3 linked regions of the Callithrix jacchus genome follow. The protein of the gene in region 2 purifies or fractionates together with the protein of the main gene of each other region. This does not show direct contact. Links are inferred from orthologs where the notes say so. Each region holds a gene or a part of one and is shown on either strand. Other genes may lie near its edges. The genes, in order: FN1, LGALS1 and ITGA4.

Evidence for each region.
Region 1: the proteins of LGALS1 (region 2) and FN1 purify together in Homo sapiens (affinity purification with mass spectrometry; 3 studies listed by BioGRID and IntAct, with this or other methods). This does not show direct contact. The link is inferred for Callithrix jacchus from reciprocal best matches to the Homo sapiens genes LGALS1 and FN1.
Region 3: the proteins of LGALS1 (region 2) and ITGA4 purify together in Homo sapiens (affinity purification with mass spectrometry; 3 studies listed by BioGRID and IntAct, with this or other methods). This does not show direct contact. The link is inferred for Callithrix jacchus from reciprocal best matches to the Homo sapiens genes LGALS1 and ITGA4.

What each region holds. Positions count from the first base shown.
Region 1 is NC_133507.1:137,243,364-137,247,639, forward strand, and holds the start of FN1 (fibronectin), read right to left. Parts: upstream 2,904-4,276; 5' UTR 2,654-2,903; coding exon 2,503-2,653; intron 1,657-2,502; coding exon 1,528-1,656; intron 334-1,527; coding exon 196-333; intron 1-195. UniProt on the Homo sapiens protein: Fibronectins bind cell surfaces and various compounds including collagen, fibrin, heparin, DNA, and actin. Fibronectins are involved in cell adhesion, cell motility, opsonization, wound healing, and maintenance of cell shape.
Region 2 is NC_133502.1:208,676,345-208,680,620, forward strand, and holds the start of LGALS1 (galectin-1), read left to right. Parts: upstream 1-1,249; 5' UTR 1,250-1,315; coding exon 1,316-1,324; intron 1,325-2,720; coding exon 2,721-2,800; intron 2,801-4,206; coding exon 4,207-4,276. UniProt on the Homo sapiens protein: Lectin that binds beta-galactoside and a wide array of complex carbohydrates. Plays a role in regulating apoptosis, cell proliferation and cell differentiation. Inhibits CD45 protein phosphatase activity and therefore the dephosphorylation of Lyn kinase.
Region 3 is NC_133507.1:47,611,652-47,615,927, reverse strand, and holds the start of ITGA4 (integrin alpha-4), read left to right. Parts: upstream 1-982; 5' UTR 983-1,263; coding exon 1,264-1,460; intron 1,461-1,804; coding exon 1,805-1,926; intron 1,927-4,276. UniProt on the Homo sapiens protein: Integrins alpha-4/beta-1 (VLA-4) and alpha-4/beta-7 are receptors for fibronectin. They recognize one or more domains within the alternatively spliced CS-1 and CS-5 regions of fibronectin. They are also receptors for VCAM1.

The sequences.
Region 1 (4,276 bases), on a different chromosome or scaffold from region 2:
AGATTCCATCTGTGCTCATATCCATCTTTAAGAAACACAGGAACCAAGTGGGTGACCACTTCAGAGTACCTGGTCACCAGGGATAAATCTCAGAGTTAGGAATAGCCAGTCATGGATAACAGAAAATGACAGTGACGGTAACAGAAATTCATATTTATGATATTTTGGCATCATTGTAAAGAATGTCTTCCTTACTTGCAATAGTGCAGCTTATTCTTCCTCGCCCAGCCCCGATGCAGGTACAGTCCCAGATCATGGAGTCTTTAGGACGCTCATAAGTGTCACCCACTCGGTAAGTGTTCCCTGTGTACTTGTCAAAGCAAGTCTCTTCGGCTGAGGGGAGAAGGAAAGTCCATGTGAGCCTCACTTAGGTACAAGGTTTTCTAGTTCACTAATCCCCTCCAATGGATAACTCGCTTTTCTATTCTACAAGTAGCATGGTACAACCACAAGTATAAAATGAAGTAAGATAAACCGATTTTTTACTCTAGGCTCTAATAAGGCCATTTTTTTTACCTTGACAAATTCTCAAATTTTCTGTAAATTATTCATATTGTAAAGAAATCTCAGGCCCTTAGAGAAAGGCCATATCAAGTACTAACTTATGACAGAGCTAGATTTGTGAACGGTTTCAGATTCCAATCTCTGACTCAGGAAGTCAAACAAAGGTTCACATAGAAAGCAAATGCCTGTAATCCCAGCACTTTGGGAGGCCCAGGTGGGTGGATCATCTGAGGTCAGGAATTTGAGACCAGCCTGACCAATATGGTGAAATCCTGTCTCTACTAAAAATACAAAAATTAGCCAGGTGTGGTGATGTGCGCCTGTAATCCCAGCTACTCGGGAGGGTGAGACAGGAGAAATGCTTGAAGCCCAGAGGCGGAGGTTGCAGTGAGCTGAGATCACGCCACTGCACTCTAGCCTGGGTGACACAGCGAGACTCTGTCTCAAAAAAAAAAAAAAAAAAATGGAAGATTCCCACCTCCCACCAGGTATTGACATTTGTTAATCCTACTATTTCCATTTTCCCTTCATAAATGCTTCTCTGGCAGAGTTGCCATAATTTACAAGAAAGGTATCAATGGTCATACAGGAATGAGAACTTTGAAGTGGCTAGTGGTGTTGTGTTAACTGCAACTGACAAATCAATTTACAATACAGTGCCCAAAGCGTTTTCTGGCTCATAAAGTTAAAGATTTGAGACTGCTTTCTAATAAATTAAAATTTTATAAGCATTTTTTTCTGTGGGAGGACACACAAAATATTTCATTTTCTCATCAAAAACTTTGGGAAAGGAAAGCAAAAAAAAGACTCTAGGAACTAATCTGGGAAAGATTTGTTTCTTTGTTTCAAAGGTAAAACCATGTGAAAAGCAAAGATAAGCAGTTTTTAAATATTTATTAAGAGGAAATGAGAGGTAATTCTATTAGAAAAAAGGTGTATGTAGTTTTACTTACTAATGCAAAGTTTAACAGTGAGCACTTCTTCTATTAAAAGATACTAACTATGGGGCTTGTGGTCACTTACCTTCAGGTTTACTCTCACAGTTAAAACCTCGGCTTCCTCCATAACAAGTACAAACCAAGGCATTGCCCAGGTAGGTCCGCTCCCACTGTTGGTTTATCTGATAGTGTTTCCCATTGTCATAACAACCAGCTGCAAATAATTGAAGGAAAAAGTTATTACATTTCCATCCCTCCTTTTCCCCAAATTATGGAATTTTCTTCATGTGAATATTTAGGTATATATTTTTTTCCTTTTAACTTTGCTAAAGGTTATATACAATGATGTCATTTCCATCTGGCCAGTGGTCTACATTAAAAAAAAAAATGTGATTTCAATTGTCTGCCTTCAAGGCAGACAATTGAAATCACATTTTTAAAAGATTCAAGGAACTTCAATATTCTTTTGGAGTAATAGTCAAAAAGGACAACTTTAATCAGGTTTCTCAAGCAAAGGGAGGGTGTGTCTTTGAAAAACTTAAAGAATTCCAACCTCTGTTCTCAGTGAAGTACCCCGAGTGGCCCTAAAGAGCTCAGAACCAATTACATCTCTTCCAAGTTAGTTAGAAACAAGACAGCTATTTCAATAACCCCTTTTCACTCTAATTGTGAAAATATTTGACCCATTATTTAACAGCAAATCAAATAAGTAGTAGTAAGGACCACACTCATCCCATCCGGAAAATTTGTAGGCACGCATTATTTTTCTCTTTAAAGGCAAGTTTTGGTTAATTCCTAGAAAGACCATCTGAACGTGCAGAATTTATCAGAATACGGGAAGATCGCAGAGTGCCCTCCTCCAATGCAGGATCTTATCATCCCAGGCCCTCAGAACCAGCCTGCTCAAAACTACATCCTTTTGTGTGCACAGCTGGTTTCTCTCAGCAAAGCGCGCACACACTCACGCACACGCTCGCGCACAAAACTTCAGCCCCAACTTTGGTCGGCTTCAGAGTCCCAGCCCTGCGGCAGCCTGTTTCAGCCCGCGGTCGGTACTCACGCTTGCTTTGACTGACAGCCACCGGGGACGGGGGCTGAACGATCTGCTGAGCCTGCCTCTGGCTCCTCGAGGCTCCCGTGAAGGGCACTGCTGTCCCCAGGCATAGGGCGGCCAGCAGCAGCCGCAGCCCGGGCCCCGGACCCCTGAGCATGTTGAGACGGTGGGGGAAAAACGCCCTCACCCGGAGGCGAGTGGCCACCAAGACTGGGTCCCTCCGAAACCTGCGGGAAAAATCCCTTCCAATGCCTCCCGAGGGGTGGACCCCTCCAAGAAGGTGGGGGCCAGAGGGTGGGGAAGGGGACGACTGGAGAGGACCAGAGAAGTTGTGGCTGCAGGTCCCCTCTCCCCGCTCGCGCCTGGGGTTCCCTCTCCTCCCCCGGTGCAGCACAGCCGGCGCGGGCGGCCGAGCCCCGGGAGCCCGGGCTTATATTGGACGGTCCTCCCCGCCCCGCCAGAGGCCCGGGGCGCGGGGAGTAGAGACCCGCCGGGCTCCCCCCCGCCCCGCCCGCCGCAGCCGCCGACCGCGCGCCGATTGGCCCGGGCTCCGGGTGACGTCACGGGTGCCTGTGGGTTCGCAGCGAACAAAAGAGATGCTGATGGCCCGCCAAGACTGGGGCAAGACAACTTTTTTTTTTTTCGGTTTCCTTTGCGGTCGTCAAACTTTTTAGGGGATGGGGGAAGGGATGGGAAGCGGCTGGGAGGAAAGGGAGTGGCTGGACTTGGGTGAAGCGAAGGGGTTGCAGGACTCTCCCCCTTCCCTTTTCTTTTTTATTGGGGGTGGTGGTGGTGTTTGAGGACATTGCGTCACCCCTGGTGGGGGGGCGGGAGAAATCTCTGCTTACAGGAGTGTATTTTGTGGGAAGAAAACCCGTAAAACATCCAGACTTTGCAGGCCCGGGACGGGGCCGCCTATCTCCCAACCCTGCCCCCTTTCTTGGGGCTAAAGGGCACTGACTGGGGACTCCCTTATTTTGTCTTCACAGCTCCGTGTTCGGACTTCGCCCCTTCCCAGCGCTGTACCCGTCTGGCTCTGAGAAAGCGCCCGCGGGCGGACGGGGAGCGAAGGGGAACGGGGACCTTTAACGAGCTTCTGCTAAGCACCGGGAGTTCCGCCGGGCGCTTTGCAAGTCCTGGGAAGTTTAGAGAATAAAGTTTTCTTTTGCTAGGACAAAGTAGCAGTTTGCTTTTCTACATATGCAGGAAAGCCTTTCTCTCCTGGGATGGGACGCCCGTTTTCACTGAAAGTAGAATCACTGTGAACATCCTGAAAACTGGAAAGTTGGACGGCTGTGGGAAGAGAAAGGTCTTCGTGTCCTTGCCCACGTCCTCCCTGCCAGTTACACACAAAGCACAGATTTTTTTGTTTGAATCATTAAAAGACGGGTGGGGCGGGGACATCCCATGTCTTGCCCTTCTTTGGCCTCTTTCTTGCGTTTATTTGCCATTTTCTTTTTGCTGACACGTTCCATTACAGAGTGCCCCTTCCCTCCCCCGCCGCCAGATTTTTTTTATATTTCAATTGTTACTGACTCCAAGAGTGTGGAAAGTTCTCGTTTAAGATTCCCCCGTCTTTAACTCTAAACTCAGAGTGGAAAGGGAACCTGAGAAGTCTCGCATTTGGCAACTCATCCCATCAGTCCTATTTTTCAGACAAACACAAGCACAATGGATTTAAAGATTTTCGGGAGGAGGCCACCACTTCCACAGTAAATTCTGAGACCCAAACTGAATGCTTTGCCTTCTCCTGGTGTTAGGAGTGCAGAGATTCCATTTG
Region 2 (4,276 bases):
AACCATGAGCTCTTTGGAGTGGGGACTGGAAGGGGTTCAGCTTTGAATCCTGAGAGCCCAGGGCCAGGCACATAGTAGGTGTTCAGTGAAATACCTGCTGAACAGATGGGGAAAGGAGGGCTGTGCTGGGCCTCAGAGGAGAGATGTGAAGATAGAGGACAGGGGGGTGGGGTGTGGTGGCTCACACCTGTAGTCCCAGAAGCTTGGGAGGCCAAGGGACGGTGGATCACCTGAGTTCAGGAGTTCGGGACAGCCTGGCTAACATGGTGAAACCCCATCTCTACTAAAAATACAAAAATTAGCCGGGCATGGTGGCTGGGGGCCTGTAGTCCCTGCTCCTTGGGAGGCTGAGGCAGGAGAATCGCTTGAACCTGGGAGACAGAAGTTGCAATGAGCAGAGATCACACCACTGCACTCCAGCCTGGGTGACAGTGTGAGACTTCATCTCAAAAATAAATATATAAATAAATAAAAATAAAAAAGATAGAGGACAGTACACAGAGCTAGGACCCCACCCCCTCCTGGCCTGGACCACCCTGGACCATCTCCCGCGCTTGACACTCTCAGGCCAGAAGCTGTCAGGCCAGGGCGCTTTGACTATCCCTTGCAGGCCCCTGAAGGGAGCCCAGCCCTGCAGCCTCAGGTTTGGCACGCAGCCCAGCCTTTCTTTAGCCTTAGCAAAGCGAACGAGCCGAGCGCTGCAGCAGCCGCAGTGCTTGCTTCCGGGGAAGTTCCGGGTGGGGTCAGGGCCTGTGGTTAAGTCAGAGTGGCCCTCTGCAGACACGCGCGCAGCAGGAGCCACGCCCTGGGCCTGCCTGGGTGCGGCCTGGCCTCCCCCAGCTCTCATTCCCTGAAGCACCCTGCACCTCCTCAGCCATCATCTCTGGGCACCCCCTGAGCCCAGCCTCCTGGCCACAGGCCCCTTCCCGCCAACTCGTGGGCCTAGCTCATCATCAAACTATTTTCCACTGGCTCCCCCCAATCTCTGCCACAGCACAATTTTGGTGGGAGGTGGTGGGGGGAGAGGTGGAGGATGAAGGAGAATAGGAGGTGGAGCTTGGACTCCGGCGGGGCCGGGAGCTCGCCACTCTAATTGGTCACCTCTGCTCCAGAACTGGCTTCAAAATTCCATAGACTCCGCCCCCGGTTGCCCCCAGCCCTGTCCTGACTTGCAATTGGCTGAACTTCCAGGGAGGCGGGGCTCACCAGGTCAGGTCCAGTTAAAAGGGTGGGAGCGCCGGAGACCCATCTCTCTCGGGTGGAGCCTTCAGACAGCTGGTGTTCCTGTCCCGCGAACATCCTCCTGCCCTCAATCATGGCTTGTGTGAGTGTTGGGACCCCACCCCAAGGTCCAGGGGATAGGGCAGGGGGCTGATGGCCGGAGGAGAGCTGGGCAGATCGGGAGCTGGGTTTGAGTTCCAGCTGTGTGTCCTGGAAGCAATGGCTTCTCTTTTCTGGACCTCACTGAGGTCCAGAAAATGGGGGTTGGCGCCGTGGTCCCTCAAGCCTTCTCTGCGTTAAGACTTGTCTGGATAGCCGGTCGCGGTGGCTCACGCGTGTAATCCTAGCACTTTGGGAGGCCGAGATGGGTGGATCACCTGAGGTCAGAAGTTCAAGACCAGCCTGGCCATCATGGTGAAATCCCATTAAAAATATATATATATAGTAATAGAAAAAAAAAAAAAAAGAATTGTCTGGATTCCTCCAGGGTCTGAAATCACAGTTATTTTGGCCCAGGGTTGACATTATGCAGCTCTCTGAGAAGTGGGAGTGAGAAGGGTGTGGCCAACTGGGGGACACCCAGGCCACTATCCCTTTCCCCCTCCTCCACCCCGGAGAGCCTCCTGTCCCCTCCCCCTTGCAGCTGTCTCAGGCACCAGGCCAGGGCAGAGAGTCACTCTCTGCTCCAGAGAACGCTGAAAAGTCGCCAGGACCCGAGACAGGCTGCCCAGGATGGGCCTTCCGAGGTCGGGGGTGGAGGGTGGTGTGTCCAGGTTGGTGGGGGGATGGGCGGGGAAATTCCCTACCACCACCCCCGAGCTAGGAGATGGGGATGGCAAGGAGGTGAGATTCTTACTTGGGCCTCAGGGAAAGGGTTCAAGTTTCTGGCAGAAGGAACCACTCACACCAGTTAACTCTTGCCCACCCTCTCCGGGTGCCGGGGAGCAGCAGTGCCAAGCAGCTTGCTCAATCTTGTTAACCCTGAGCCAGCCCACAGGCTATCCTCCCTAATGCAGCCGGGCCACGTTCTTCAGGGTCTCCTCCCTAGCCTCTGGGCCTCTTCGCAGAGAGGGGCTTGAAGGAGAATGGTGGGGTCGCCCCTGGCCACTTCCTCTCCAGCAGAGGGGCAGCCCCCTCCATTCAGTGTGACCGTGGGCAAGTGTCGGCCCCTCCCCAGCCTGATCCTCTCCATCTGCGATGGGACAGAGCACCCCACCTCCCAGGCCACTCTGAGTCCAAAATCCCCAAGCCAATCTGCAAAATCTCCTTGAGCCTGATTCACGTTACAGATTCAAGCCGACCCCGTTGGGAATAGGGACTTTCCCAGGACCACGTAGAGCATCAGAGGCTAGAAATCACAGCCGGATCCCGTCCCCAGGCTGCCCCTTGGCTTGGTCAGAGGACGCAGGGCGGGAACAAGCCCACTGCCACCCCTAGATACTGCGGGACCGTGGAGGCCTTGTCCTCTAACTCGGCTGGGCGGGGGCTTGTCTGTGCAGGGTCTCGAGGCCAGCAACCTGAATCTCAAACCTGGGGAGTGCCTCCGAGTGCGGGGCGAGGTGGCTCCTGACGCCAAGAGGTGAGAGGTGAAGGTGGGGTGGTGGGCGGCAGGGAGGGGGGCTTGGTCCAGCCGGGAGGGTGTGGCCGGCCAAGCCCACGTCTCCTCCCTGGCTGGGAGTGGGTTAACTGCCGGCCGCAGATGCCGCGTTTTCTGGGTGACTCACTTCCCCCGCAGGGTCTGGGCGCCCCCACCATTGCCGCCCCCTCCCCTGCTCCCTTCCTGCTGTAGCCTCTTAAACTAAACCAGCTGTGGCCTCGTCATCTATAATACCTTGGCTCCCCCGCCCCCACCCCTTTACGGGCTGGGCGGGACCTGCTGGGGAGGGCGGGAAGAGGAGTGAGGCTTCCCTCCGAGTCCCTCCTTCCTGCGTCTGCCCATTCATTCACTCGCTCTGTCCTTTGGTCCTTCCTTCACTCCTCGTTCTTTCAGCCGACTACCTTATTTTCTCAGCAGTTATGTGACCTTGGACCAGTCAACCAACCTCACCTAGCCTCAGTTTGTTAGAAAAACAGGGGGGGTTGGCCGGTGCGGTTCCTCACGCCTGTAATCCCAGCACTTTGGGAGGCCAGTGAGGGTGGATCACGAGGACAGCAGATTGAGACCAGCCTGGCCAAAATGATGAAACCCTGTCTCTACTAAAAATACAAAAATTAGCCGGGCGTGGTGGCGAGTGCCTGCAGTCCCAGCTACTTGGTAGTCTGAGGCAGAAGAATCACTTGAACCCAGGAGGCAGAGGTCTCAGTGAGCTGAGATCACACCACTGCCCTCCAGTCTGAGCGACAGAGCGAGACTCCCTCTCAAAAAAAGAAAAAAAGGAAGAAAGACAGTCAAGGAGAAGGTGGCTGTGTGCAGGAAGTGAACAGGGCAGTGGCGATGAGGAGGCTGAGGATCAGCTGATACTGTTCAGAGCCACACACTTCTCCTGCACTCATTTCATTTCAGCCAAACGCTCGGAGGCAGGAATTGCTATTATCACCACGCAACGAATGTACTGTTATTGGTTCCTTAGCCCCATAATTACTAAGTATCCCCTATGTGCCTCACTTGTGCTGGGCACCAGGAATACAGAGATGTAGAGACAGGACACTTAACCTCCCAGAGGTCACCATCTGGAGGCAGTCTCTGACCTTGACCAAAAAGTGTAGGGTGCTAATGACTATGAGAATCTTGGGCCCTCGGCACAGCAGGAGCCCTGGGGAGCCTTCTGTGCAGCCCCCGTTGTACAGATAAGGAAACTGGGGAAGAGGAGCAGGGACTAGCTCAAGCTCACACAGTAAGCAGGTGGCAGGGCCAGAGCTAGAATCCAGGTTTCTTGTCTCCGTTGGTGAGTTCTTCCAGCAAGGTGGGATACTGAGTAACAGACTAGGCAGTGGGTGGGGCTGGAGTTGGCGGAGGTGGCCTCAAGCCCGCCTGTTACCCCCCAGCTTCGTGCTGAACCTGGGCAAAGACAGCAACAACTTGTGCCTACACTTCAACCCTCGCTTCAATGCCCAC
Region 3 (4,276 bases), on a different chromosome or scaffold from region 2:
TAGCAACAATAAAAAACTAGACCTTCATCTCCTGAAAATATCAGTCTAATAATCATCTATGGCTGCCTCTCTGGTTGCTGAAGGGAAAAAAACAAAAGCAGGGCATACCTGGATTGCATTAGAATGAGACACACTACCCAGTTCAGGTGTGTTGGGTCGTGGGCCTCCAGCACATTTCAGAGGCTCATTAGGACCCTGACCCCACAAAGGGGTTTACACTCCCAACAGCAGGTGTGTCCCGTGGCAACCGAGTGGGTTCGTGAAAAGGGGGATCATCAAGAACCAGTTGGAGCAATCCGAATTGGTTAAAGTGAATCAAGTCACAGCGCTTCCTTACCCCAACCTCTCTGTTGGGGTCAGCCACAGTCTAAACCACCTGCCGTTCAGCCGCTCACGCACTCAGCCCGGGCTGCAGAGGAAGTGTGGGGAGGAAGGAAGTGGGCATAGAAGGGTGCCGAGCTGTGGGTCTTGAAGAGAATAACCATAACGTCTTTGTCACTAAAATGTTCCCCAGGGGCCTTCGGCGAGATTTTTGGTTTTTTAAATTTTAATTTGCGACTTTTGATAGTTTCTCCAGTGGTTGCCTGCACTTGAAAACAAGACACAGTGCTTAATTATCGACGAAAGAACTGGACGGCTCCCCGCCGCAGACCCAGTCCCCGAGTTTGTGGCTGGCATTTGGGCCACGCCGGGCTGGCCCCAGAGGCTGGGCGGTCACAGCGAGGGGCGCGCGGTTTGAGACCACACAGCTTCTACCAACTACGGTTAAACGGGGAAGGCCCGTACCCCATCCAGGTCCGTTCCTGCAGAGCCGGGAGCCATCCCTCGCTCTGCGGGCTGGGAGGCCCGGGACGGGGTCGCGCGTCCTGCGCAGCCGAGGTCCCCCAGCGCCCCCTGCAGCCGCGCGTCGGGGGAGACAGAGCCCGGCCCTGCGTCTCCGCACCACGCCCGGGACCCCACCCAGCTGCCCTTTCATGAGAACAAGCGCGAACACCCGTAGCTCCCGGCCGGCGGCAGAAACAGCGTTGGGCCCGGCGGGAGCACTGCATCCCAGGCCGGCCGGGTTGTTCTGCCTGCAGCGGGCCCAATTTCCCCTCCTCTTCCCTCCCTCCCTCCCTCCCTCCTTCCTCTCCTCTCGCCCGCGGGCGCGGGACACGCTGCGCCTCATCTCTTGGGGCGCTCTTCCTTGTTGGCCAATCGTCGCATCCCGTGCAACTTTGGGGCAGTGGCCATTTACTGTTGAATGTTCCTCACCGAGAGCGCATGGCTTGGGAAGCCAGGCTCGGACCCTGCCCTCGAAGGGCCGCTGTCCGGGAGACAGTGATGCTGTTGCTATGCCTGGGGGTCCCGACCGGCCACCCCTACAACGTGGACACTGAGAGCGCGCTGCTTTACCAGGGCCCCCCCAACACGCTGTTCGGCTACTCGGTCGTGCTGCACAGCCACGGGGCGAACCGATGGTGAGTAGAGTCCTAGCGGTGCGCTCTTGGCAGCTCAGAGTGGCGTGAGAGCGGCGCCCCAGGGATTCCCTGCCCTGTTCAAACTTTCCTCCCTCCCAAGGAGGCAGGAGGGAAACGCTGCGAGAGCCAGCTCGCTGGAGATCTGCCAGAGAAAATAACTTATCCTGGGGTGTCAGCGCCCCGGATGCGTTCTGGCGCAAGGTCCTGGAGCTTCGAGTAGAGGGTGGTGGGCGGAGGAGGAGGTGGGGAAGCTGCCCTGCTGCCGACTGCATAGCAATTGCGACGGGAAACTCAATGGGCAGCAGAGCTCACGTCTGAGAGCACGTGCACGTGTCTCGCTTTAGGCTCATAGTGGGTGCGCCCACTGCCAACTGGCTCGCCAACGCTTCAGTGATCCATCCCGGGGCAATTTACAGATGCAAGATCGGGAAGAATCCCGGCCGGACGTGCGAACAGCTCCAGCTGGGTGAGTTGGGTGTGGGACCAGGAGTTAGTGACCTCCCGACCTCCTGTGTGGACCCCATCATGGGGCAAGTCCTGGAAAGATTCAAGTCGCCTGTTACTTGTGGTTTAAAGTGGGTACGTTTTCAGTTTTAACTTCATATCTCATTTTCCCTCCGTAATAAAAAAGAGATTCCCTTCTTTCTGTTAATATCGTTCTCCCTTTTCCTTATAGCAACGATTGCAGTACTCTGACAAAACTAGTCTAGAAAAAAAAATCTTATAATACCTTCTTCTCTTCATTTCTCTCCCTGTCTCGCCATGTGTAAAGCACATTTTAGAGTCTCTCAGCATATTAAGGACAGGATCTAGCTAAGCAAAGACTTGAGAATTTTATTTCCATCTTTGACCTATCAACCTTCTTAAAGAACAGGCTAAGGGGCATAGCGGGAATACCAGTTGGAATAGGTCCCATATCCCGTCGTTTAACCTAAGGGCCTAAAAAAAGTGATACAGGTTTATTTAGAATATGCAGTGTAAAAGAAAATGTAAGGAAAATTGTCATCTCCGTTGTTAATACAGTTAACCTGAAGCTTAACATATAATTTTCCATTCCTCAAACTGTCATCCAAAACTCATGTTAAATGAGTCTTTTTGCAGTCACTTCTTAATGTCTCAGATTTGTGACAAGTTGAAAAGTTGTCCTGTTGGAGGAGGGGAGAAGTTTCATGTTTCAAAGCCAAAGGCAAATTTGTTGCACTCCGGCAAGTGGGGAAAGAAAGAGGAACTGATATTCAATAACAAGACCTATCTTGTTCCAAAGTGTTAGTTACTGCTATACATATTGCTTAATTTTTTTCCCCTCAAAACAACCCTGGGTCATGGTTGACATTGTTCCTGGTTTATGTATGAGGACTGTGGCTCAGAGAGCTGCACATATCTTTTTAAAAGTTAGCTAATGAATGGTAGGTGGGAACTAAAGTCAAAGTCAGGATGGGTCCAAAGTCTAAGCCATTTTCTTCCATGTATGCATCTTCACTGCAAATAAAATTAGATGAACAGTCTAATATGTTGTCTGCTGAGCTGATGGGTCATCTGTAAATGGTGAACAAAATTGGTACTTCTTTATCTTCGGTATAAATAGACTTTGTGATTAGCTAGTTATTGAATCTTTAACTTTTTTTGCATTTCATGATAGTCTTTGCTCTTTTTCAAACTGTGAAGCTGGTTCCCTTCATTCAAATGAATTCAGATATAGTATAAACATAATGGAATTTTAACTTTCAATTCGGAGCACTCATAAAAGTCCACAAGTTTTCTGTTGCATGTAGAATAAACCCTAGCCTCTTGTTAAGCATCCTCAATTTCAAAAATCACAGGAGGAATGCTTAAAACATTCACAGATCCATACATTTGGAATGATTTTGCAAAGCATAATTTTCATTGCATGAGACAGTTGTGGGTGAAGAATTAGGGAGTGGAGCTGACAACCTTAGTCTGCCAGAGGATCTTGGCAAGGTCTCAGGAGGAAACAATTTTATTTCCATTGTCCCGTCATAGTTTCCTGATCCATGACATTATAACTGATATTTAGTGCCTACTTCCTGTCTGGATGGACACTGAATCTATTTCTGGATGTCTGTGTTTAATTAGATAAATCATGTTACAATATAAAATTTAAGATAATGCCTGCCGAAGGAAGGAAAAATTATTTGGGCATGTGTCGTATGGGGCTTGACTGTTCTCAGAGAAATGTGAACAAGGTAGATATGTAATAGACATGAATTAAATGAAGATTTGTTGGATGGATGAATGAATAAAGTGATGTGAAAGTTTATCAACCTGATTGATGAGTAAGATAATTGATTAGAAATGATGAGCTGAACTGATATTTTAATTCTCAAAATTTAGGCTAATCCATAAGGTACTTACTGAGATGAAAAAAAAAAAAGACAAGATTCCTAGTCAATGAGTTAAAACATTAATAGTGATAGTAATAGCCTGAGTATTTGTCGAAGAGTTGACTGAAGTTATTTCTAATAAAATGTTCTAAAGAATACAGATATTTTTTACTCCTTATGTAGAGAAACCATCTCTATTCAAAATAAGTCCAGAGGTAGCTTAAAGCTATAAAATAGGGATATTGAGGCTACAGTCTAGAAATAAAACACTGAAAACAATACATTGGTAATATATTTTAGGATTCTTAGGTTTTTGGTGTGTGTACTGTTTTGTATGAAGAAGTTTCAAGAGTGTGTGTAAATATAGATAAGCCATTTTCGAGAGAGAGAGAGAGAGAGAGTGTGTGTGTGTGTGTGTGTGTGTGTGTGTGTGTGTGTGTATTATCTTCTGTATAAAATAGCTTCATTTGTCCT